5 linked regions of the Oryzias latipes genome follow. The protein of the gene in region 1 binds, or shares a complex with, the protein of each later gene. Links are inferred from orthologs where the notes say so. Each region holds a gene or a part of one and is shown on either strand. Other genes may lie near its edges. The genes, in order: ppp4r3a, ppp4r4, ppp4r1, ppp4r2 and ppp4c.

Region 1 (4,487 bases):
AAACACTTTTGGTACACTGTGCTGTGTGTAATCAACCAGTGCTGTATATTTCTTCCCTTTTTATATTCTAAAAACTCTTTATGCAAATATGATCAGAGTTTTTCATTCAGAGTGTTAGAGATTATTATACAATTTTTTTCTTTTTTATTATTATGAACATGCATATCCTTCATAGATTGAACCTAAAAAGAAATATTTGAATTATGTTATTGTTTTTGGTTAATTATGTTGCATAATTTTATTCTTCTGTTACTGTAAACATGAAATGCAGCACATTAGCATTAGAAAATTCATTTCTGTTGTGCTTCAATTTTCTACTGGTTTACTGGATATTTCATTCTTTATTTGTTTCTTGTTTGGTGTCAGGACGATGAAAAATTCCTGACGGACCTCTTTGCACAGCTAACAGATGAGTCCACAGATGACGACAAAAGACATGAACTGGTATTATTTTACAATATACTGATATCATTTATTTAAAGTGTTAATCTTCTCCACATTAGTTGATATATAATTTTTTTTTTACCTTGTTTCATCGAATTTCTTTGTCTTATCAGGTAAGCTTCCTAAAGGAGTTCTGCGCATTTTCACAAACGTTACAACCTCAAAACAGAGACGCCTTCTTTAAGACATTGTCAAACATGGGCATTTTACCTGCACTGGAGGTCATACTGGTGAGTGATTGGCGTTGGGATTAGGACAAATTATGAGTCAGAGATACAAAGAAATTGGCTCCTTTTGTTGATATTATAGATATTTCTGCTGTGTTGCTTTAGAATTGTAGAACTTGTCGGTCTCCAGCCTGTGGTTTTTGTACAGGATGTTATCATATAGACCATGTTTTATGATCAGATTTTTCCTCATCGATATGTTGGTACATTTTATACCAAAATAAAACTAAGCAAACATTGGTTTTCTCTTTGTAACATAAAACAGAAATTAATAACCAAACTGGTAAACACAATAGAGATTTTTTTTCCTTTCAATGGAGGCTATTTTTATTAACCAGTGTGCAGGACTCCTGATTTCTACATTGTTCCTTCTCTTAAATTTGTCACTTTTACTTTGCTATGAATATGCTTGTTTTGTTTTGGCGTAAAACTTTAAAATTAGATTTTGGCCATATTGTTCCAAATGAGGAGTAAATTATTTCTCATACTAGAATTGGCAGGACTATTTTTCTCATAGAAAATGGATATCTGCTGCAAATTGTAACCTTTATAATAGTTCAAATTTTAGATGAATTTACTTAGGGTTAGGGTTCCTTTACTTTGACTTTCATGAACATAGTTAAGGTTTTCTAATAATTATACAACAAAACAATATTTTATTGACTTTGCCTTATGGTAAATTTATAAAATGTAATTAAATATTGCCCCCCTCCTTAACTGTTACTAAAGTTGGAATGTTTTTTTGTTTTTTTTGGTAGATTAAAAAATAAGTTTTAATGGCTGACATTCTTTTATGCTGAATAGGGAATGGATGATGTTCAAGTGCGCGGGGCAGCCACAGATATCTTCTCGTATCTGGTGGAGTACAACCCCTCCATGGTAAGAGAGTTTGTCATGCAGGAATCTCAGCAGAATGATGATGTGAGTATACAGCAAATGACAGGCTTAAATGAAAGGTGGCCCTAATTGTTTCTTAGGTTGATACAAACACATTTATTTTGTTTTCAGGACATTCTATTAATCAACTTGATCATAGAGCACATGATCTGTGACTCAGACCCAGAACTTGGTGGTGCAGTTCAGCTTATGGGGTTGCTACGGACTCTGCTGGATCCAGAGAACATGCTGGCAACTGCTAACGTGAGTTTGCTCTTGTACTTCTAATCACTTGTGACAGAATTTCCCGATAGCAGTTTGATTTTCCTGCTGATCAAGTTTCTCTGCCTGGGAAGAAACAATATCAGGGCCCCCAGTTTAACAGGTTGGGCCAGAGATCTGTACCTTCCCAAGTAAACTGCTAAGGGTGGGAACATTATGTTCTGTGTATTTTTAGAAGGTGTGCAACTAATTCAAAAAAAATGTTGCTTTCTTTTTCTTTGCAGAAAACAGAAAAGACAGAGTTCTTGAGCTTTTTCTACAAACATTGTATGCATGTCCTCTCCGCTCCACTACTAGCCAACACCACAGAAGAAAAACCCAGCAAAGGTATTAAAGTTCAAGATGTCTTTGGTTATCATACTTTGTTAAACGCTTTATGAAATGTTCTTTTTTTTTCTTCTTCCCTTTGTAGATGATTTTCAAACATCGCAGTTATTGGCATTGATTTTGGAGCTGTTAACATTTTGTGTTGAGCATCACACGTATCACATAAAGAACTACATCATCAACAAAGATATTCTCAGGAGGGTACTAGTGCTCACTGCCTCTCAGCATGCCTTCCTGGCACTTTGTAAGTTTTACGTCTTCAAATTCTACTTTCAAGATGTGTTCATTTTCAAATCACTCCACACTTTCAATTCCTTGTTAATGTTGACATAAAATAGGTTACAAAAGGACCTATTTCTGTATTCACAGGTGCCCTACGCTTCATGCGAAGGATCATTGGTCTGAAGGATGAATTCTACAATCGATACATCATGAGAAACTTTCTCTTTGAGCCTGTCGTCAAAGCTTTCCTCAAAAACGGCTCCCGCTACAATCTGATGAACTCTGCCATCATTGAGATGTTTGAATATGTCCGCGTAGTGAGTGTTCCCCGTTGTTTTCACTTTCTGAAACTCAAATGCTTCAAATACAAATTAAAAAAAAAAGTTACAGAAAAGTTTTTAGTAATTGTAGATGTTATAGACTAGAAAACGATACTAAGATATCTCTCAAAACGGACTCTAAGAAAAACTTCTTCCTTTTGTTATGGTTGGAAAAACAATTTTTTATAGTTTTTCATTTGTTTGTTTCTGCAGAGCACCGATGACTTGATCTGTTAAATGTTTTCTTAAAGTCAAATGTGTAATGCTGAGACATCAGCAACATTTTTGTTTTGTTGTTCCAGGTAAAAGTAACTTTTCCCATTGGTCTCTAAAAAAGCAAAAACAAAGCCTAAACTTTAAAATATTCTTAAACTTTTCGTTACACCCATTTTCTTTTTAGTTTAGTTTGTGTCCCAAACCAATCTTTTTCAATGCTTCTTTCTCATCAAGCTGCACTTGTTCTTTATCTGCTTTTTCCTTCAAGGAGGATGTGAAATCTCTAACAGCTCATATAGTTGAAAACTACTGGAAGGCTTTGGAAGATGTGGACTACGTCCAGACCTTCAAAGGCCTTAAGCTCCGGTATGAGCAGCAGCGAGAGCGGCAAGACAACCCCAAGCTGGACAGGTGAGAGGGCAAAGACCCGGTCCTAATGTTGCATGACATAGCTAAAAGCAAAATGTGTGTTTTAATACATGTATTGTGTTAAAATACAAGGTCAGGTGTGGTAAGACAGAATACATGTGTCTGAACGAGAGGGATCAAAGTAGAAGCGTTAGGTTACAGGGGGCTGAGGTGAAGAAGGTGCAGGAGTTTAAGTACTTGGGATCAACAGTTCAGTGTGATGGGGAGTGTGGAAAAGAGGTGATGAGGCGAGTGCAGGGAGGTTGGAGCGAGTGGAGGAAAGTGTCAGGAGTGTTGTGTGACAGAAGAGTGTCAGCAAGACTCAAAGGAAAGGTGTACAAGACAGTGGTGAGACCAGCTCTGCTCTATGGGTTAGAGACGGTAGCAGTGAGACAGAGACAAGAGGCTGAGATGGAGGTAGCGGAGATGAAGATGTTGAGGTTCTCCTTAGGAGTGACCAGGTTAGACAGGATAAGGAACGAGTACATCAGAGGGACGGCTCATGTTGCCTGTGTTAGCGACAAAGTCAGAGAAGCCAGACTGAGATGGTTTGGACATGTTCAGAGGAGGGATAGTGGATATATTGGTAGAAGGATGTTGGAGATGGAGCTGCCTGGCAGGAGGGCAAGAGGACGGCCAAAGAGGAGATATATGGATGTCTTAACAGAGGACATGAAGTTGGCTAATGTTAGGGTAGAAGATGTTCATGATAGTGAGATGGAAAAGGATGATTCGCTGTGGCGACCCCTGATGGGAAAAGCCGAAAGAGAAGATTGTATTAAAATAATTTAGATTGCTGTGACTTTGAAACTAGCAGAATGTTATTTGTTTGTTTTTCTTGTAAATAACTCCCTTTTAGGAAGATTTGAACTTAAAGGGGCTATATTATGCTAAGTATTTTGTTTAAGCTTTAAATTGTATTCTAATATTCATTCCTCACGAAAAGAAACCCCAAAGTGGTATTTTGATCCGTTTACGCAATTCACCCAATCCACGTAAACGAGTGGGTCCTCACATTGTGACGTAGATCTATCGCCCCAGGTGAACACACACACTTTCTCTAAAAATGTGTTCTATTGTGTGCCAAAGTTTATTTCATATACATGGATATTGTTTACTATAAAAGACTTAACCCTTGTGCTATCTTAGATGACCCCACCCTTAC
Region 2 (4,487 bases), about 16 Mb from region 1:
AGAGGACTTTCTCTGATTGTAGATTTGGCTTTGGGTCGAAGCTATTGGAACCGTCTTAGGTTCCTTGACGTCTGTGAAATTGCCACAGAGATTTTCTCAAAAAAATACTTCAGTAAATATTTCCTGATTCCAGCGCTGGAGCTTGCCCATGACCCCATTGCCAATGTGAGGTACTTCAATGCATTTCTACTAAGCCACAAGCTGAAATTTGACAAATATTAAGGTCACCACATCCCACTCAATAGCTTGTCCTGCTCACCTGTTTCTTAGATACAAGCTCTGCCAGCTGCTGCCCAGGTTGCGCTTATGTCTCTGCCTGCCAGCAGACAAACTTCTGCTGCAGAAATTGGACTTTTGTGTTCAGAAACTTTTATGCAGGGAAAAAGACAAAGATGTGGTGGCCACAATCCCGAAGGTAAACCTCACCAAAGAACTGTCCGGATTGAGGATGGGCTGTGATGGTGTTCAAGATTCTGTGTGTAACTATATCTAATATCATTTTCAGACTGTGCTGGAACTGAACAAACTGGACCTGTCAGAACCTGTAAGCTGCAAAGCATGTGTTCTGCAAATGCATTAGGCAAACATTTGTTCCAAACTCCATCTTCTGGGTATGTGCAGTTTCACAAGAGGCAGGAGAGGGACCTGCTGGACCTGAAGAAAAAGAAAGAAGAGACTGTCCAGCTGGAAATGGTGAGTCAAAAGCCAGAACGTGACTCCAGCTTGGAACTGGCCAACTTGGTCCAACTGGTTTTAATGTCATACTGCTGTTTGTTGTGTTATGTGTTGTCAGGAACAGTTGGAACAGGACAGCGATGGTAAAGTGACCTCTGACAGGCACACAGAGAGAAAGCGTGAGCTGAACCTTCATCCTCTCAAAAGATTTTTGGACCAAAGCTTTGGTTAACCTTTTCCTCCAACAGGAAGAGACAGCAAGACCAGCCTGACTTTCACTAAGTCTGTGTCCATCTCCTCCCCAGTAGCAGCACCACCCTCTGGTAAGTTGATGATAAAGATGATAGCAATAACCATTATTTCTTAAATACACCTTTGTCCTCTTGAGCCCTCTACACTAGCACAAGTAACATACAGCTGCAAATCTTCCTTTCCTTTCTTGGATCTGATTTCCTCTTATTGTCAACTGAGAATTTTCCTGTAATCCATGTTTCTAGAAAATTGATCTGAATAATGTGTCTTAAAAATAGAGTATGTTCCTGTGGATATAAAGGTTACAGTAATTACAGCGTTAGCTAAAAATCAGAAAATATCTCATTATTTGAAAAATCATCTAAGGTGCTTGAAAAAAAACTGTTGCAGATCAACTCCTTAAGCACCTGATCAAAATTATTTTTTAGGATTAAGGAGGATTTTTGAGTGAGGATTTGGAGCTCATCACAGCATAGAAATGGTTCTGCTAGAGGGAACAATGATCTCCTCATGGTGTAGACACTGGACCTGTTCTTGTTCTTTTAGACCTCAGTGCTGCATTTGACATCATTAATCAGAACATTTTTTTGCAGAGACTGGAATATATCATTGGTATCACAGGAACAGCTTTAAGCTGTTCTATTATGTCCTTTTTTATGTCAAACCTTTTATCTGATAGATTGCAGGGTAATTGTGTAACCGATGAGTCTTTCTCACCCAGCAATCAGTCATGGTGCACCACAAGGCTCTGTGCTTGGTTCACTCCTAATTAGTTCAACATGCTCCCTTGGGTAACATTATTCAGTAGCACAGCATACATTTTCTTTGCTGCTGATACTCAGATATATTTACCTATTAAACCAGGAAAGGTTGGTTCTCCCAGCAGATGAAGATCTGTCAAGAATGTCTTGAAGATAGATCCAGGAGTTTTGTGTTAGTCACTTTCCTTGTCTCTCATTGTTAAAGTTACTAATACAGTGATCCCTTGCTATATCACGGTTTACTTTTCACGGTTTTGCTACTTCACGGATTTGGATTGTGCATTGTGTTCTGCATTCTGATTGGCTAAAAAGTCACTCAGCGAGTAGCTCAAGAATGGGACCCTTTGATGAGCCGTTCATTACAGTTCTCCAACATAATCGATGGGGGCATGTCGGTGTAAGAGGGTCTTTAGCAAAGAAGAAAAAAGAGCGACAACAACTGCCTATCACTATGTTCCTCTCCCGAACAAACACACCTGCAGCTGCACCGCGGGCTTCAGAAGGAAAAAACGCTGCAGAGGATGCAGCGGCTCAGTATGAAGAGCAGTGAAAAAGTAGACCGGAGTCACTATCTGTCCCACTGTACTTTTTTATTTTTTTCATAATCATTTTAAATTTTCTCCCGTTTAATCCAATTACTCTCGGGTCGCGGTGGGCGGGGCTAATCTCTGCAATTTAAAGCCTTCTGTTCTTATCGATGATTGAAATTATTATTTGACAGCACACTACAGAAGTTATTTGTTGAAAAACGTTTCTAAAGTTAAATTGTTAAAAAAACAATTGATTTAGCCTGTTAAATGGTTTGTTCTTTCTTTTCAATGTATAATAGTGAATTTCATTGTATAATAATTGTAAAAAAATAAAGGTTTCTACTTCACGGGTTTTGCTTATCACGGGTTCTATTTGGAACGTAACCCCCGCGATAATCAAGGGATCACTGTACTTTTGTTTCATCCTAACAGGTAAACTGGTTGATTTTATTGCTTGTTGACTTTCTTTTGTCTCACTGCTGAACTAACTAACTTTGTCTCACTGGACTATGGATGGTAATAATGGTGGTGCTGAAAATCTAAATAAAGATGATTGATGATTTGGATGATGAGGCCTTCCGTCTTCCAGGTAAAGAGAGGAGGAAGCCAAAATTGTCTCGCAGTCGTTCCCTCAGCAGTCAGCCGTCATCAAGCAAACCTGTGAATTCTGACAGACCACTGTAAGATGCACTCACGTAGAGACACGCCACAGATTGGTTTTGTTTCTGCCTTTAAATCTTTGACAAATATTCTTATAATGTAACCTTTTTTTCAGGAAGGTCAAAGACCTAAGTGGTTCGTTTCGACTTGGGAAGTCCTCTGTGTTGGTTAGCAAAGGTAACAGTGTGCACTCAGGACCTTGCATGTTTTTCTGACATATACAGTACATCACTTCATGTGTTTTGCAGATGCCTCCCTGAGAACAAGTCACTTCACCATGACAACCCAGACCACCTCCTTTATGCCGATTCTGGTACGAAATGACACAAGCCTATCAAGTGTACTGGACAGACCCAGTATCTTGGACAGAACTACCAGCGTGGACTCCATGAAAAGTGTGATGGAGCACAGCAATAGTGGTTTTTATTCCAAAGACCACAGAACCAGTACTTTGGACCACAGAGGGCACAGAAGTAGCACTTTGGAGCAGAGCAGTAAAACAATGGAGCGTAGCAGCGGGGTGAAGGACAGTCGGTCTAGAAAACTGTAAGTCCAGACCAATTCTGAAACTGCTTTGTTTATCCTGTATCTTTCACAAATCCAAAGAAGAGTTTTATTTCCTGTTGAACGAGCATCCTTGTGATGGTTAGACCTTGATGTTCTGATGTTTCTTTTACACAAACCTTGTCTGTCGTGGTTGGACATCAACTTAATTTGGGACAGTGCATACCCTATTTTAATCCAGAATGTTCTGCTTTAGTCCTTAGCTCAATCCACTCAACAGTGTTCTTCCACCAGCTAGAAGCAGAGATGGCGTTATGTCGTTATGCAGATGAACATGTCAGTCTAAAGAGGAAGAAAGACACTCAGGCAGAGACTGAACTTGGAGGAGTTCCCTGTGTCTAAACAGGCTCTGTTGTGGGTCTTCTTTGATAGAACTAACATTCAGGCCCTAGGTGTTCTTCAGACAAGACAAAGCAGAAGTGCATTGAATGTTTATCATAGAAAAAAGGTTAATGTATCTGTAGTTGGACTGTTGAGTTGTACGGTCTAACAGCGGTTGGAATGCAGGACCTGTGGTACCGCTACTTCTAATGCTGCATTCACACCGGGTCAAATCCACGTCTGCTGCCTCTCTTTTGATCAAATTTACTGTCTGACACCTTGACGCCCCGGTCACAGAGCAACCAACGTTTTTATGGACTTTATTCATCTCCACATCTTGGAAACATGGATGACGTTAAGCGAGTAGCTTGGGTTTATATGTTATGGAGAGCTTGTCGCCGTGTCTGGGTTCACCAGATCATTTAGTCTCTCCCAGTGTACTTCACTCCTGCAGTGAAAGCTGCACCTGGGTTACAGCCGTTTAAACGTTACGTCCGTCTGTCTGTGGCCCAGGGGGTATTACCAAAGAGGGGAAAAGAAAAGAAAACTGGGGGATCTTTTTATTATTTTCTCAATGAAAATAAGATAAACATCATAAGCCCATGGAGCTGGAGTGATGGTGCCCACTATGACAGCACCCATGGTGGCTCTCCGTCTGCCAGTATAGCGGGCTCGGCTGCCCAGGGCCTGACAGCCTGGGCGGTGAGGCACACTAGCTCTGACC
Region 3 (3,881 bases), on another chromosome or scaffold:
GCTCAACCAGACAGTGAATGTAGAGCCTTTGTTTCTATGCTGTGTAAATCTTAGGTTTTTTTTCCTGTCTTAAAAAGTAACTCATTTATTAAGCTGCTTGTTTTTCTGTTTCTGCTGCTGTCATCTTGTGGTGTTTTCCTTTGTGGTCTTTCTTAGTGGAAAGTGCGACGCACACTGGCTTTCTCTATCCATGAACTGGCGGTTATCCTGGGCGACCAGCTGACAGCCGCTGATCTGGTTCCCATATTCAACGGCTTCCTGAAAGATCTGGATGAAGTTCGCATCGGCGTGCTGAAGCATCTTTATGACTTCTTAAAGGTAAAGTAATTCCCATGCAGACTAAAGCTGCAGGTACAGTCACAGCTGCTTCGTGAAAGATGTTGAAGCTCTTTAAAAATCATTTCTAAACCAAAGGAAGTCGTTGGCATGGGTGTGCTAGATAATGTTGTTTGTCATTCTCTTGTTGCAGCTGCTGCATGCAGACAAAAGGAGAGAGTATCTGTACCAACTGCAGGAGTTCATGGTCACAGACAACAGTCGCAACTGGAGATTCAGATATGAGCTGGCAGAGTACGTTGACTTTTGTTTCCTCACACACAACAGACTTGAACATCATTTTCTATTCAGTTTATTCATAAAGCACTGCTTCATATTTCTGTGTTAAAAAACATGTCTATGAGGACTCTCATTCATCCAGGTTGATTCCATCATAGTAGTAGGTTTAGGGGCTGTCATCTGCAAACCTACTACTATGGTGTTAAGAAACAGTTTCAGTAGGGGGTGAGGGATGCAAACCAATATATTAGATATCATAATATTTTAGCCAGACTAATAACAGTGTTCCCTCGTTTATTGTCAGGGATAATTAAACCGAGATGGGTGAAATCCACAAAGTAAGAGTATAGATGTTTAAGGCTGTAAAAGCCTTTAGGCACACTTTCGATACTTTTTCAGACAGACTTTACATTTTCCCATTTTCTCTCTTGTTTAAACTCTCAAAGCTAAGACCTTCATGGAAAAATGAGCCCAGTATTATAGAATAAATACAAAGATCTGTTCTCGATCAGTGTTTTATGTAAATAGGGGAACGCTGAAAGCATCCTCTACAGGAGATGCAGCACAGAGGAAATTGATTGACGAGGTCAACAGCCAATCAAGATGTAGAACACATTGTGTTGTAAACAAAACATGCAAAATCACGCTAAAAAAAATCTGAAAACAGCGAGACCACCATGGATGAACACTGTATCTATAAAAGGGGTTTAGGATTGTACATTCCCTTTTTTTATGTTTATTTAACACCACATTATCCTGATTGACAGCAGATTCATGTGCTGTCTCTTGCTGGATTAGTAAATAATAATTATTTGTATTTCTAGCTTCTTTTTTTGGGGGGGGAATAAAGCCAAAATCTGTATATTTTAAGAGATAACCATAACATGAAAAAGAAAGTCATTCTACAACATTCTAGCATTTGGTTCTGCTCACACACTTGTGCACTGTTGAGGCAAAAACATGCGTCAATGGAGAAGTGTGAATTATTCATGACACAGTGTCTGGAGAATATTCTCTTTCTTGACCGTGGTCTCTTCAGGGTCCTAGTGCCAGTTGGATCTAGTCCGGGCTTCACATTGCTGGCAGCTTGCCCTTTCTGTTGTGTATTTTTAACGTTTGCTTCAAGCAGTGACAACAGTAACCAACACACTGAACATGTGTGCACATGAACGCAATAAGTAGCTCCTATTGCCACATATCATGGAGCATAAATGCATTTCTGCTTTGATAGGTATGAAGTCATAACACAATCCTGTCTTAAATAAAATCAGGCATAGTTCTTTTAGCCCTAGATCTGTTCAAATTACAGGTATTCTAACTGACTTTATTTTCTATCAGCTTCATAATTGTGTGTTGCTGTTTTTTTTTTTCCTACAGGCAGCTGATCTTGATAATAGAGTTGTACAACCACCGTGACGTGTACGACTACCTCAGACATATAGCGCTCACCCTTTGCTCTGACAAAGTGTCAGAAGTCCGGTGGATTTCTTACAAACTGGTAAGTTTACAAGAAATGGGGTTTGTAGAAAGACATGTCTAAATATTTAAAGAAACATGACAGTAGTATCACAATAGAGAGGAAGTTTAGATGCTACACACATGGAAGAAAAAAACCCATAACCATCATGATTCAGGTTTTAGCATCAAGGCGACATCTGGGGAAAATATTCCAATTTGTCAGCTGCTGATTCATTCATTGAAACTTCTAGAAGTGGTCTGAGTGGGTTGTGTGCTCTTACCTGTCGTCAGGTGGTGGAAATTCTGCAGAAGCTGTATGCCAGCAGGGCTGATGACCTGGGCTTGGAGTTCATCAATGAGCTGACCGTGAGGTTCTGCCACTGTCCCAAGTGGGTGGGGAGGCAGGCGTTTGCCTTCATCTGCCAGGTCTGTGTTTGCTTTTAGAATCCACATTATATTAGGGAAGAGGTATTCTCAATAATTCTTTGAACACGCTTTTGTTTATTTTGGTTTTAATCTTTCAACTGAATGTATAAAAATGCTGATACTGAGCTCCTAAACCAAAAGACAGACTGACCGGTGTGAACTTTATTACTGCTGTGTGATTCTAAGTTACAAGCAAAACTGATGGAAAAATTTTCACTTAATTTTTAATACAGCAAAGAAGACTTTGATTCCTAAATGCAAACATGCATTCAATCATTTTTATTTGAGTAAAACTTGGACAGACTAAAAAGTTCTGTGGTTTTCTCTGTTTCATTTCTGGTGAATCTGTTTGATCTCTAACAGGAACACTTTCCTCTGAATATCAGCTGTTTCTGCTGTTTTCGCATACAAAAGAAAACATTTGTCAGTGTCAATTAAAGACCAGCAAGTAGATGGTGTTCGGCTTGGTCCCGCCTATAAAATCCTCCCACAATTCTCTGGGAACGATCAACTCATTTACTTGCCCATGTCATACTTTACATATGTAGCCATGGTGAAACAACAGAACTTCATTTGTGTTTAAAAGCCCAGATGCACATTAAAGCTTGCAGATAACCTGAACCTCAAAAAGTGAGCAAAGTGCTCTGGGCTCTGAGGGGTTTTTACCCATCAACTTACAAACTGTGACTAGTCAGTGCAGCTTTCCACTTTTTTTTTTTTTTTTCCTGTTTCTGTGTCCATGGCTGTCTCCAAATCAAATGTCCTCAAAGACACAAGAGGGACAATTCAGCTCAGAAAGGGGGGTGTTTGTGTTGCTGGTTTTATCTGCAACTGAAAATAATTACAAAACTTGTTTTTTTGTCTTCAGTGTTGCACAATCAGATAAGGTTGATGCCATAGAATGCTCTTTGTTGATGAACCTGTTTGTTGACTTTCTATGTGATTTCTCTGGACTGAACTCCTTGTTGACGGACTTCCTCCTGCAGCTTTCTGACTGACCGTTCTGTTGAATCTCCTGCAGGCTGTTGTGGAGGAGGACTGCATGCCCATGGAGCAGTTCAGCCAGCATCTCCTGCCCAGTCTGCTCAGCCTCTCCACAGACCCTGTAGCCAATGTCCGCGTTCTGGTGGCCAAGGCTTTACGTCAGAGCGTGATGGAAAAAGGTATAGAGCAGGAACATTTCATGTGTGTAGATTATTTGCAGTTTCCCAACATTGTTTATTTCCTTGTAATTCAAGCCTTGGAGTGTGACCTTCAACAACCACAACAAAAAGATGTGATGATGAGCAAGGTTCAGAAATGCTGGGTTGGATGTTGAATGTCCTGTTTGTGCAAAAATGTCACCTTTTCTCTCCTTTTTTGATTTTTTTTCCCCCAGCTTATTTTAGAGAGCCGGGCTGTGCCTATTCTAACAAGCTGGAGGAGACTGTGATGGCTCTGCA
Region 4 (5,153 bases), on another chromosome or scaffold:
AATTCGGACACAACCTACAAAATTGTCTTCCTGCAGCAGCTGGCTGGGGATCTGACGTTACGCCTTTGTCTCCGCAGTTCCCTTTCGAGGACAACATGTTCCAATCGCTGTTCTACCCGGTCCAGAGCAGGTTCCTGGACACGGTCAACACTCTGTGCGGTCGCATTCCCCAGGTCTTCCTCAAGCAGATAGAGAAGACCATGAGGAGTGCTTTTGAGAGGAAGGTGGTGCGCCATGCCAGACCTCGAAATTAACAGCCGAAGACCATGTTGCCCCACCCACACCCCCATGCTGTGCATTTAAAGCAGACGCAACCTGTGAAGGATCATGAACTCTACAGAAATAAAAAAGTAAATAAAAAGAAACCAAACAAAGAAGTCACTTTTTTATTTATGTTGAGAAAAATGCTCATCTCAAGCATTTCTAAGCGACTAAAATGAACATTTTAAAGGTTCAATTGTATGAGAGCAACTCTTGGACAGTTTAAAGAATGGTGAATATTTTAGCGTCACCATGAAATGTGAACGAACCACCACTGTCTGTATTAAATGTTTGTATGTTAAATGTTTGAAAAGCACTTTTTAAAAAAGATTTTTTTCTTTTAGACCGTGAGACTTTGCCTGACCGAGTTGGACAGATTGTGCAAGAATGTTTTATTGGAGTGAAGTTTAAACGCCATATTAATGTTCATGTGTGCCATGTTTACCATACAAAATAAATGGATTTGTGTAGGTGTGTGTGAGCCTGTAATATGAATCTGTGCTGTTGTGACCCACGTGTTACATGGAAAAGTTTGTGGAGTCTACATATGTTTTCAGAATTAAAATTTTTGCAAAAAACTAACCCATTGTGAGTCTTTTTCCCCCTGCTATTACCTTGTTTGCTTTTGTCCTGGTAAGTGGGCGGAGTCTTAAAGACACCACATTCTTTTATATGAAAGACCCACTCTGATAAAATTGTGTTTCTGTTGTTTTTAACATGTTCTCGTGGCATTTTTTCTGACGATGGAAGAAAAATATCAAGAAAGTTAAGCTTGAGATTGCATTTCTGAGTATTACTTCGTTCAAATTGTGAATTAGGAGCAGACAAAAAATGCAGTTTAAAAAAAAAATTGTGCTCCGCGTCATTCTGATTCATCTATCTAAATGTTCGTTTTCCTCGTCCGAGCTAGCATCTGGCTCAATTAGCTCCAACATTGGTCGCCATTTTTTGCTGCAACGCCACTAGGGATGTGAGGGACTGTAAGCTAGCAGGAGAGAGTGTAAATAGAGAGCTCTCAGCAAAGGGGAAGGGTCAGGGGGGTGGGGTTGCTCCGGGCCAATGGTCCCACCCACAACTCAGACATATTTTTTAATAATAATGACCAACTCTTATTTTCTTTTAGTTGCTATATTGTAATGAAATACATCAATTACAATATACGCAGCACACAGATTGGGTGACAGCTCATGGCTGCTGATTGGTTGATTTAGTGAGAAGCAAAACATACTGTATTTGTAACTTTGTCATTGTAGATAAATACATGTTTATTTGTGCGTGTGACATTTCACACACGGACAAAGCAACTTTATAGACAGACATGTTTGTTTTCCCGTTATAAAACAGTTTTACAGACGCACACATTTCTAATGACGGGTACAAACATTTTTAAAACAGACAGACAATCTGTTTTCTACAGATACTAAATCTTTCAACACACACAAATGTCTCATTACAGGTGCAAACCGTTTTGTGCAACAAATCTAACTTCATATATGCTGCTCTGCAAAAAAAAAAGTCTACTGGGAATGCTCTTTTTTTAGTTGTGTTGTATCAGTTCTCTTCTGTTTGTTGAGTTAGACTCGGGCTGTGACTTAACGACGCCATCTTTAATTACCCCCCCCCCCCCCGCCGCCTCCTAGCCTAGCTTAGCATCGGCTAGCCGCCATCCTGCCGTTGACACCCTCAGCACTAACAGAGGCGACGACGTGATGGAAATTGACTCGATTCAAGAGGCGCTCATAGGTCACTTTCTTCTCCTCATTTAACACCAAGCTGACGAAAAATATCTGATAAATGTCTGCTCTAGGTTACACTAAAAAAAGCGATAATGAAGTGGGTTTTAGTTTACGAGAGCTAGTGTCAACCGATGCTAACTTATTAGCTAGTGCTGTCTTCGAAACGCTTAGCTTTCTTTTTAATGTATTCCTTTCTTTTTTTTTTGAAATAACTAGTTAGTTCTTATAGTTAGCTTTCTTCTTTTTGTTTTCCACGCACCATGATTTCAGATGAATTAGCCGGCTAACGCTTTGGGGAAAACTACCGGCTTCCCCGTTAGGCTAAAGTTAGCATCGCAGGGCTACGATAAGCTAATAGGAACTGCTGATCAACACTTAACGAAAGGAAGGGTTCAGCGATATATATTAATTCCTCGGGTTGAGTTAAAGTGGGCATTGAGCGTTAACCAGGTTAAACTGGACGACCACAAATTAATCCGACATTCTCAGCTGCTCAGTTTGGCTAAACTGTTCGTTTTTTAAGCTAGGCTAAATCGAGACCTGTTCGTGTTCAGCCAATTTGTTAAAATGTTTCTACAGATTTTGACAAGAAATCTAAAAAGGAACCATCCCCTGTTCTGGAGGAGTTCCTGTGCCATGTTGCCAAAACTGGACAGACCATGTAAGTGTCCTTTTTCTCTCGGTTTTTCTGCTCCAGTATTTGAAACTCTTCGGTTTACTTTGAGCCTTTCACTTTCCATTGATGCTCTATTGTTCACTTTCACAGGAAATTCTTACTATGACAGTTACCTATATGCTTTTCCTAATGCAAGTTCTGCACGAAATAGGGTCAAATAGAACGGGGGAAAAGGGTCAGTCAGGATGAAGGGATCAAACTTATCTCGGATAATTCCTTGATTTTTGAGTCATTTTTGTTTGCAACCTGGTTTTCAGATTCGTGACAGCTTCTATACTATAGAGGTGAACTCTGGTTTACTTCTCAGTCTGAAGTCCATGCAGATAGCAGTTTATGGTTCGGTGTCTGCAGTTACATCCCACAGAAAACACTGCTGATATTGTATTTGGACCCATCAGAGAGTTTTTGGAGATGTTTGCGGGGGGGGTTTCCGGTCATAAGAAGAATACATCTTTGAAACTTTCCACTTTCTCCAGTTTTACCCGTGTCTATTATTGTCAGTGTTGTCGGAAACGTTCATCTGCCCCGATACCATTTCCTGCTTTTATGGAACTCAACAAATGTTGAATGTGTTGCCCTCTGCAGACATCGAATGTGTGCCGTGTTATTTTAAACGTGACGTTAAAAACCTGTTACACAGAGAATGGTGCAGCTTTACCTTGAAACTTGTGAATCCACGACCACAAAATTTTATTAAAGTTTGGTTAAAGTGAGCTTTCTTTATGAGAATTATTATGGAATAATGAGTGAAATAAATAAATGTATTACAGATGTTGGCAAAAATGAATACTTATGCTTATTACAGCTGTGTGTGTGAGGGGCTAAGTAATCAACTGTAGCATCACCAGTCGTCTAGCGATAACTTGTCTCTTCGAGAAAAGAGGTTAAAAAATAAAGGTTTTTTTTGAGGTGATGGAAAACGTTTTAAACAAATAAGAAACATACAAACTGGGTTGATTTACGTTTCCCAGCTAGTATGAGTGTAAGGTTCTTTATTTTTTCTTTCTATCGTCTAACAAAAGCCCATCCAAGAAGCTTCATCACTTCTAGTGGAAGAGGAAGACCACAAAATCAGCTTATTTATAGGTCTTTGTTTTATTCAGAATATCCCTTCATTCGGGCTTAGATTTCAGTTTCGGTGTATTTACAATAATAGGTGAAGAAATGTCGTAGATGCTGTGGAGCTACAGAATGGTAAACATACTGAGGCCATTCTAGTTCAAATATATGTTAGCTTGATGCTATATTTAGGGATACAGGAGGTTGTTGGTGTTGGTAAAAATGACCACTTCTGCTGATATTTCTGTTAGTAAAGCCTTAGTCACATGCTGCCGTACTGGGTTTGGTTTTTCCAGGGTTGTCGACCTTGAGGGACATCGTGAAAATAAAACATATGATTGTCTTGCGTGTGTTAAGCGTATTGTAAAGTATTTGTAAGGATGTAGGTTTGATGTACAGGTGCTGGTGTCGTACGGGGGCCTTACGCTACACTATTTGTTTAGTAAGGTGCGCATACTGACTCATTGTTGACGGCGTGCAATTGCTGCACACGTGGGAGTGCAGGTCATATGCAAGTGCCTGTAGGACGTCCACGGGAATTAAACTCGTTTGTTCCCCTTTCGGCATATCGTTTCAGGGGTGGCCACAGCCAATCAGCTTTCACTGATTCATACAGGTGGCAGAGATTGTTATTTCTTCTGCCACAACTCTATTTATTTCCGGGCTGGGGACCGGCACAGTGTGTGAAGGGTCTTGCCCAAGGACCCACACTGGATGAAGATCATCCAGAAAACATTATTTGCTCTTCGAGCGTTCTACGAATTTGATATTGTTTGTGGAGCGCCTGTTTGGCCCGCACAGGTTGGTCAATTCTTAACCTGCAGACAGCCTGGATCCACCCATAAGGGAAGTTATGACTAAGGCGTAAAGTGTGGCTTCTCCTATATGATTGAATGAAATGAAAGTGTATTAGAGATAAATCTGTATAATAGAAGGGTTTTCATTTGCAAAAGGTCAATATTTGGTTTATTTGAATATTTTAGAAGTTTCTATTGGATCAAACATTTTTATAGGTTGATCATATCAATGTGTTTTCAGTCATTTATACCCAAAAAACAAGTTCAGAGCTGAGAGTAGGAAAGAGCGATTAAGACTCAGAACCGAGCAGCTGGTTGTTTTTACCAAAGAAAGAGGAACATGGATTAATACTACGACAAAGGAGTACTTTACCGGTTTCCTGTTCATCCTCATCTCCTGTGTCCAACTCTCCAGGGTCCAGTGGTCTCAGTTCAAAAGCTACTTCCTGTTCAAGCTGGAGACGGTGATGGACGACTTCAGAGCGTCGGCGCCCGAACAGAGAGGCGCCGCCAACCCCAACGTGGAGTCTGTTCCATTCGAAGACATGAAGGAGAGGATCCTGAAGATTGTGGACGGCTACAACGGGTGAGTGGACGCTCCAGTTGTGCCGGCCGGCAGAGGGA
Region 5 (3,260 bases), on another chromosome or scaffold:
TAACTGAACAACCAGATCATTATGGTCTGTCTCTGCTGGAGGGCGTTTCCGTCTGGCCACTAGGTGGAGCTCTCCTTATAGCATTACACTTTATTCCAGAAGATTGGAGCAAAAAATGGAGCTTTAGACCACAAATGGTTACTTTCAAAAATGTTTCTGTAAAAGAGTTTGGAAAATTCCTGCCTGTGAGTCTATAAAGCTGCTCATTGAGTCAGTAATGTATGTTTGGGTCGTCCAAGAGTTAGCATTAGCCGTCCTATGGGAAATTCCATTATACGTTAGCATCAAGCTAGCAGACTTTGGCTTTACTGATGTTATACATTAGATCCCCGGAAAAAAATGAGCATAAAAGATCGATTTCTACTTTAATGGATCTATTATTGATCTACTAAGATTGGATCAATTCAGATCAATTAATCGATTTGATCAAAATCACCGTGCAAAAAAATGTATATACAGTTTTTTTTAAAAGTAAGAAAAGCAGGGAATGTAGGAGGAATTGACTATTATCCATTCTTCCACCATCCCCTGCTACAAGCCCCTCCCACTGGTTCCAGAGGGGCGGCGGCTTCTCCTGCCACAGTTGGGGGCAGCTGCTGCTCCTCACTGGGAGAGTGAATGGTTTCATGAGGCACACATGGAGGCGTGTGCTGCTCATTGATGCTGTTGTAGAGCTCTTCAAAATGAAGAAACGCCATCTGTCATCATCTGCGTCCTCCATGCGGAGGTCGACACGCTTTTGGCGGGAGCTTTAGGCTCACACACCTTAGGACAAACATTAACTAGGACCTTTGACGCATGTTAAACCTTAGCCGTGGCGTGTGGTCCATACAAATCATCCGTTGCACACCTAAATGTCCAGAAAACATTCCATATTTTCTGTTTTATAGGGTGCACCACCAATAAATAACCTATTTTCTACATTACGTCATATATAAGGCGCACTGCACTATAGGGTCCATGAAGAGAGAATAAAAAGGCAGAGGAAAGTCCAGACTTTATAAACAATATTTCTAATTCCTGTTTGCGACGCTCTACACGTTAATTACTTAAGTCGCTCCACATCACAAGTCATTTTGACCAAAATGAAGGTTTATTCTGTGCTCCTCATAGTGCCAAAAATATGCTACGAATTTCTAAATGCAGAACAAATATTTGGAGTTTTGCTGCTTGAAAACATAAATTAACTACAGAAAATAAAATAAATTTTTTTTGCTTTGAATATTGAGACAAACAAACATTTAACAGCTTTGGTTGAATGCAAAGCCTAAAGTAAACAGTTGTACTTTTCAGTCTTAGCAGGACTGGCCGGTTCCCAAAGGTCCATTTTCTCTGCATCTGCATTCTAGTCGTGCTGAAGCACAGCCAGTAAATCTCCTCACAGCAGCAGTCTGAATTAGAGACGCTGTTCCTACAGCTAACCGCTAACCTAAACCTAACTAGCATTCAACTCCTTAAGTGGGCGTGTCCCAAAGGGAGGCTTTTACACAGAGACAAATCAGTGGAACCGGACAGGTGTCCGTCACCTGTAGCAGTAGTTGGGTGCGGACCACACGGTGAGCACAGTCTCGTTGAAGTGCCACTTGTAGCCCTCCATGACCAGCTGGTGCGCTCGACAAATCATGTGGATGTCGTTGGCGGCGTTGAACTGAGCCACCACGTCGCTCCCGAACAGATATCCAGCCCCTCTGGGACTGACCCCCCACCCGGTGGTGTCTGAGAGCAGACCGAAGAGATCAGGCAAACGTGCAGCTTCTCAAACGGAGTCCGGCTCTGGCTGAAGCCGTTACCTTCAGGGTCTGACCACAGAAGGTCACACATGGGCCCATCGTGAGGCACTTCCTGTTTCCTGTCAATGGTCCGGATCTGGTCCAGTGTTTGGATGGAGGGGGACAGCCCTCCGTGCACACAGAAGATCTGGAGGACAGAATGAAAGCCATCAAAACAAAAGCCAAAGGAAAACCTTTTCACGTCCAACATTTTGGAGGAAACGGCGTGAAGAAAACCCGTCCGACCTTTCCATCGATGATGGCAGAGAGCGACAGGTAGTCGAATATCTCGGTGCAGTATCTCCACACCGTCACAGAGCCGTACTTGCGGAGGCACTCATCGTAGAAGCCATAGACCTGTGTGATCTGCCTGGACTCGTGGTTTCCCCGGATCAAAGTGATCCTGTCTGGATAACGCACCTGAGGAACCAAAAACAGGAGGATTTATGTCAGAGACCTGCACAAGTGCAGCACGGAAGGGCTTGATTGACTTCAAATCGTTCACCTTGAGGGCCAGCAGCAGAAGGAAAGTCTCCACGCTGTAGAAGCCTCTGTCCACAAAGTCCCCCATGAAGAGATAATTGGTCTCTGGGACATCTCCCCCCACCTGGTAAATGGCAGGTTTAAAATCAGTGGAATCAACACACAATGCCTTAACGTTTCAAAACTTGACGGTTTTTGGGTTTCCATAATAAACCCTGAACTTCTGCGGTTCTCATGATTCAACTCCAATAGGAGTGAGGCTCTGCTCTTTAATGGCCTCCCCTCCACACACCAGCCAGCCGTCCCTTTCTATAAATGACCCGCTACCGTTTCTTCATCCCTTTGGCAGAAAACACAAAGAGGCCAGCAGAAGGCCTCAGGCTAAAACACACAGTACAGCCTGAGGAGAACCGGTCGGACCATCGGACACCAGAGGAGCGCGGCTGTGCTGTAAACCCACACGTGTACAGACAGAATGAAGGGCAGTTTAAAGCAAACAGCCCAACTTTTGTTTTAATAACACCGTTTGCTTTAAAGTTGACCTGGATCTGGCATCAGCAAACACATTTCAAGGCCTCTGTACAGACATTCTGTTAAAACTACTGAGTACAGAGTACTGCTATTTCTACACAGAGGTCACTAGCAGAAGTTACGGGGCACTTCTCGTGGCGCTCGTGTTTTCATTGCTCCGCCTCGCTGAAGTAGCTCCTCTTTGCTCGCTGCTGTTCTCACATCCGTGCTTTGGACGGACCGGCGGGCGGCTTTTACTCCCAACACGGAAGAGAGCAGAGAGCTGGGGGGAAACGTCTCCATTTTCTCAAAAATAAACAGTCTAAAACATCAAATTGGACATAACTGATTAATGGTCCAGCCCTACGTCACAGCCCATAAAGAAGAAGTGTCCAACCATCAAAACCAAACAGCAGTGCAGGAAAATAAACCACGATTTTGTCTGGAGCTTGGATTAAAACAAACATAAAAGCTTACTCTGAAGAGTTCTTTCAGGTC

The links.
Region 2: ppp4r3a (region 1) and ppp4r4 share a complex: the UniProt entries of both Homo sapiens proteins name them as parts of the PP4 complex. The link is inferred for Oryzias latipes from reciprocal best matches to the Homo sapiens genes PPP4R3A and PPP4R4.
Region 3: ppp4r3a (region 1) and ppp4r1 share a complex: the UniProt entries of both Homo sapiens proteins name them as parts of the PP4 complex. The link is inferred for Oryzias latipes from reciprocal best matches to the Homo sapiens genes PPP4R3A and PPP4R1.
Region 4: ppp4r3a (region 1) and ppp4r2 share a complex: the UniProt entries of both Homo sapiens proteins name them as parts of the PP4 complex. The link is inferred for Oryzias latipes from reciprocal best matches to the Homo sapiens genes PPP4R3A and PPP4R2.
Region 5: ppp4r3a (region 1) and ppp4c share a complex: the UniProt entries of both Homo sapiens proteins name them as parts of the PP4 complex. The link is inferred for Oryzias latipes from reciprocal best matches to the Homo sapiens genes PPP4R3A and PPP4C.

The regions. Positions count from the first base shown.
Region 1 is NC_019882.2:7,227,261-7,231,747, reverse strand, and holds part of ppp4r3a (serine/threonine-protein phosphatase 4 regulatory subunit 3A), read left to right. Parts: intron 1-366; coding exon 367-444; intron 445-557; coding exon 558-674; intron 675-1,475; coding exon 1,476-1,592; intron 1,593-1,679; coding exon 1,680-1,811; intron 1,812-2,053; coding exon 2,054-2,156; intron 2,157-2,241; coding exon 2,242-2,400; intron 2,401-2,525; coding exon 2,526-2,695; intron 2,696-3,182; coding exon 3,183-3,325; intron 3,326-4,487. UniProt on the Homo sapiens protein: Regulatory subunit of serine/threonine-protein phosphatase 4. May regulate the activity of PPP4C at centrosomal microtubule organizing centers.
Region 2 is NC_019882.2:23,160,869-23,165,355, reverse strand, and holds part of ppp4r4 (serine/threonine-protein phosphatase 4 regulatory subunit 4), read left to right. Parts: intron 1-22; coding exon 23-170; intron 171-270; coding exon 271-415; intron 416-505; coding exon 506-544; intron 545-621; coding exon 622-693; intron 694-793; coding exon 794-854; intron 855-923; coding exon 924-998; intron 999-2,807; coding exon 2,808-2,898; intron 2,899-2,993; coding exon 2,994-3,055; intron 3,056-3,126; coding exon 3,127-3,424; intron 3,425-4,487. UniProt on the Homo sapiens protein: Putative regulatory subunit of serine/threonine-protein phosphatase 4.
Region 3 is NC_019863.2:13,852,441-13,856,321, forward strand, and holds part of ppp4r1 (serine/threonine-protein phosphatase 4 regulatory subunit 1), read left to right. Parts: intron 1-156; coding exon 157-318; intron 319-469; coding exon 470-570; intron 571-1,932; coding exon 1,933-2,053; intron 2,054-2,304; coding exon 2,305-2,439; intron 2,440-3,460; coding exon 3,461-3,602; intron 3,603-3,817; coding exon 3,818-3,881. UniProt on the Homo sapiens protein: Regulatory subunit of serine/threonine-protein phosphatase 4. May play a role in regulation of cell division in renal glomeruli. The PPP4C-PPP4R1 PP4 complex may play a role in dephosphorylation and regulation of HDAC3.
Region 4 is NC_019863.2:21,903,018-21,908,170, reverse strand, and holds the start of ppp4r2 (serine/threonine-protein phosphatase 4 regulatory subunit 2), read left to right. Parts: upstream 1-1,873; 5' UTR 1,874-1,970; coding exon 1,971-2,004; intron 2,005-2,576; coding exon 2,577-2,658; intron 2,659-4,944; coding exon 4,945-5,115; intron 5,116-5,153. Other genes in the region: gxylt2 (glucoside xylosyltransferase 2), read left to right, coding at 78-254. UniProt on the Homo sapiens protein: Regulatory subunit of serine/threonine-protein phosphatase 4 (PP4). May regulate the activity of PPP4C at centrosomal microtubule organizing centers.
Region 5 is NC_019866.2:25,210,263-25,213,522, forward strand, and holds part of ppp4c (serine/threonine-protein phosphatase 4 catalytic subunit), read right to left. Parts: coding exon 3,240-3,260; intron 2,377-3,239; coding exon 2,275-2,376; intron 2,190-2,274; coding exon 2,016-2,189; intron 1,918-2,015; coding exon 1,791-1,917; intron 1,717-1,790; coding exon 1,527-1,716; intron 1-1,526. UniProt on the Homo sapiens protein: Protein phosphatase that is involved in many processes such as microtubule organization at centrosomes, maturation of spliceosomal snRNPs, apoptosis, DNA repair, tumor necrosis factor (TNF)-alpha signaling, activation of c-Jun N-terminal kinase MAPK8, regulation of histone acetylation, DNA damage checkpoint signaling, NF-kappa-B activation and cell migration.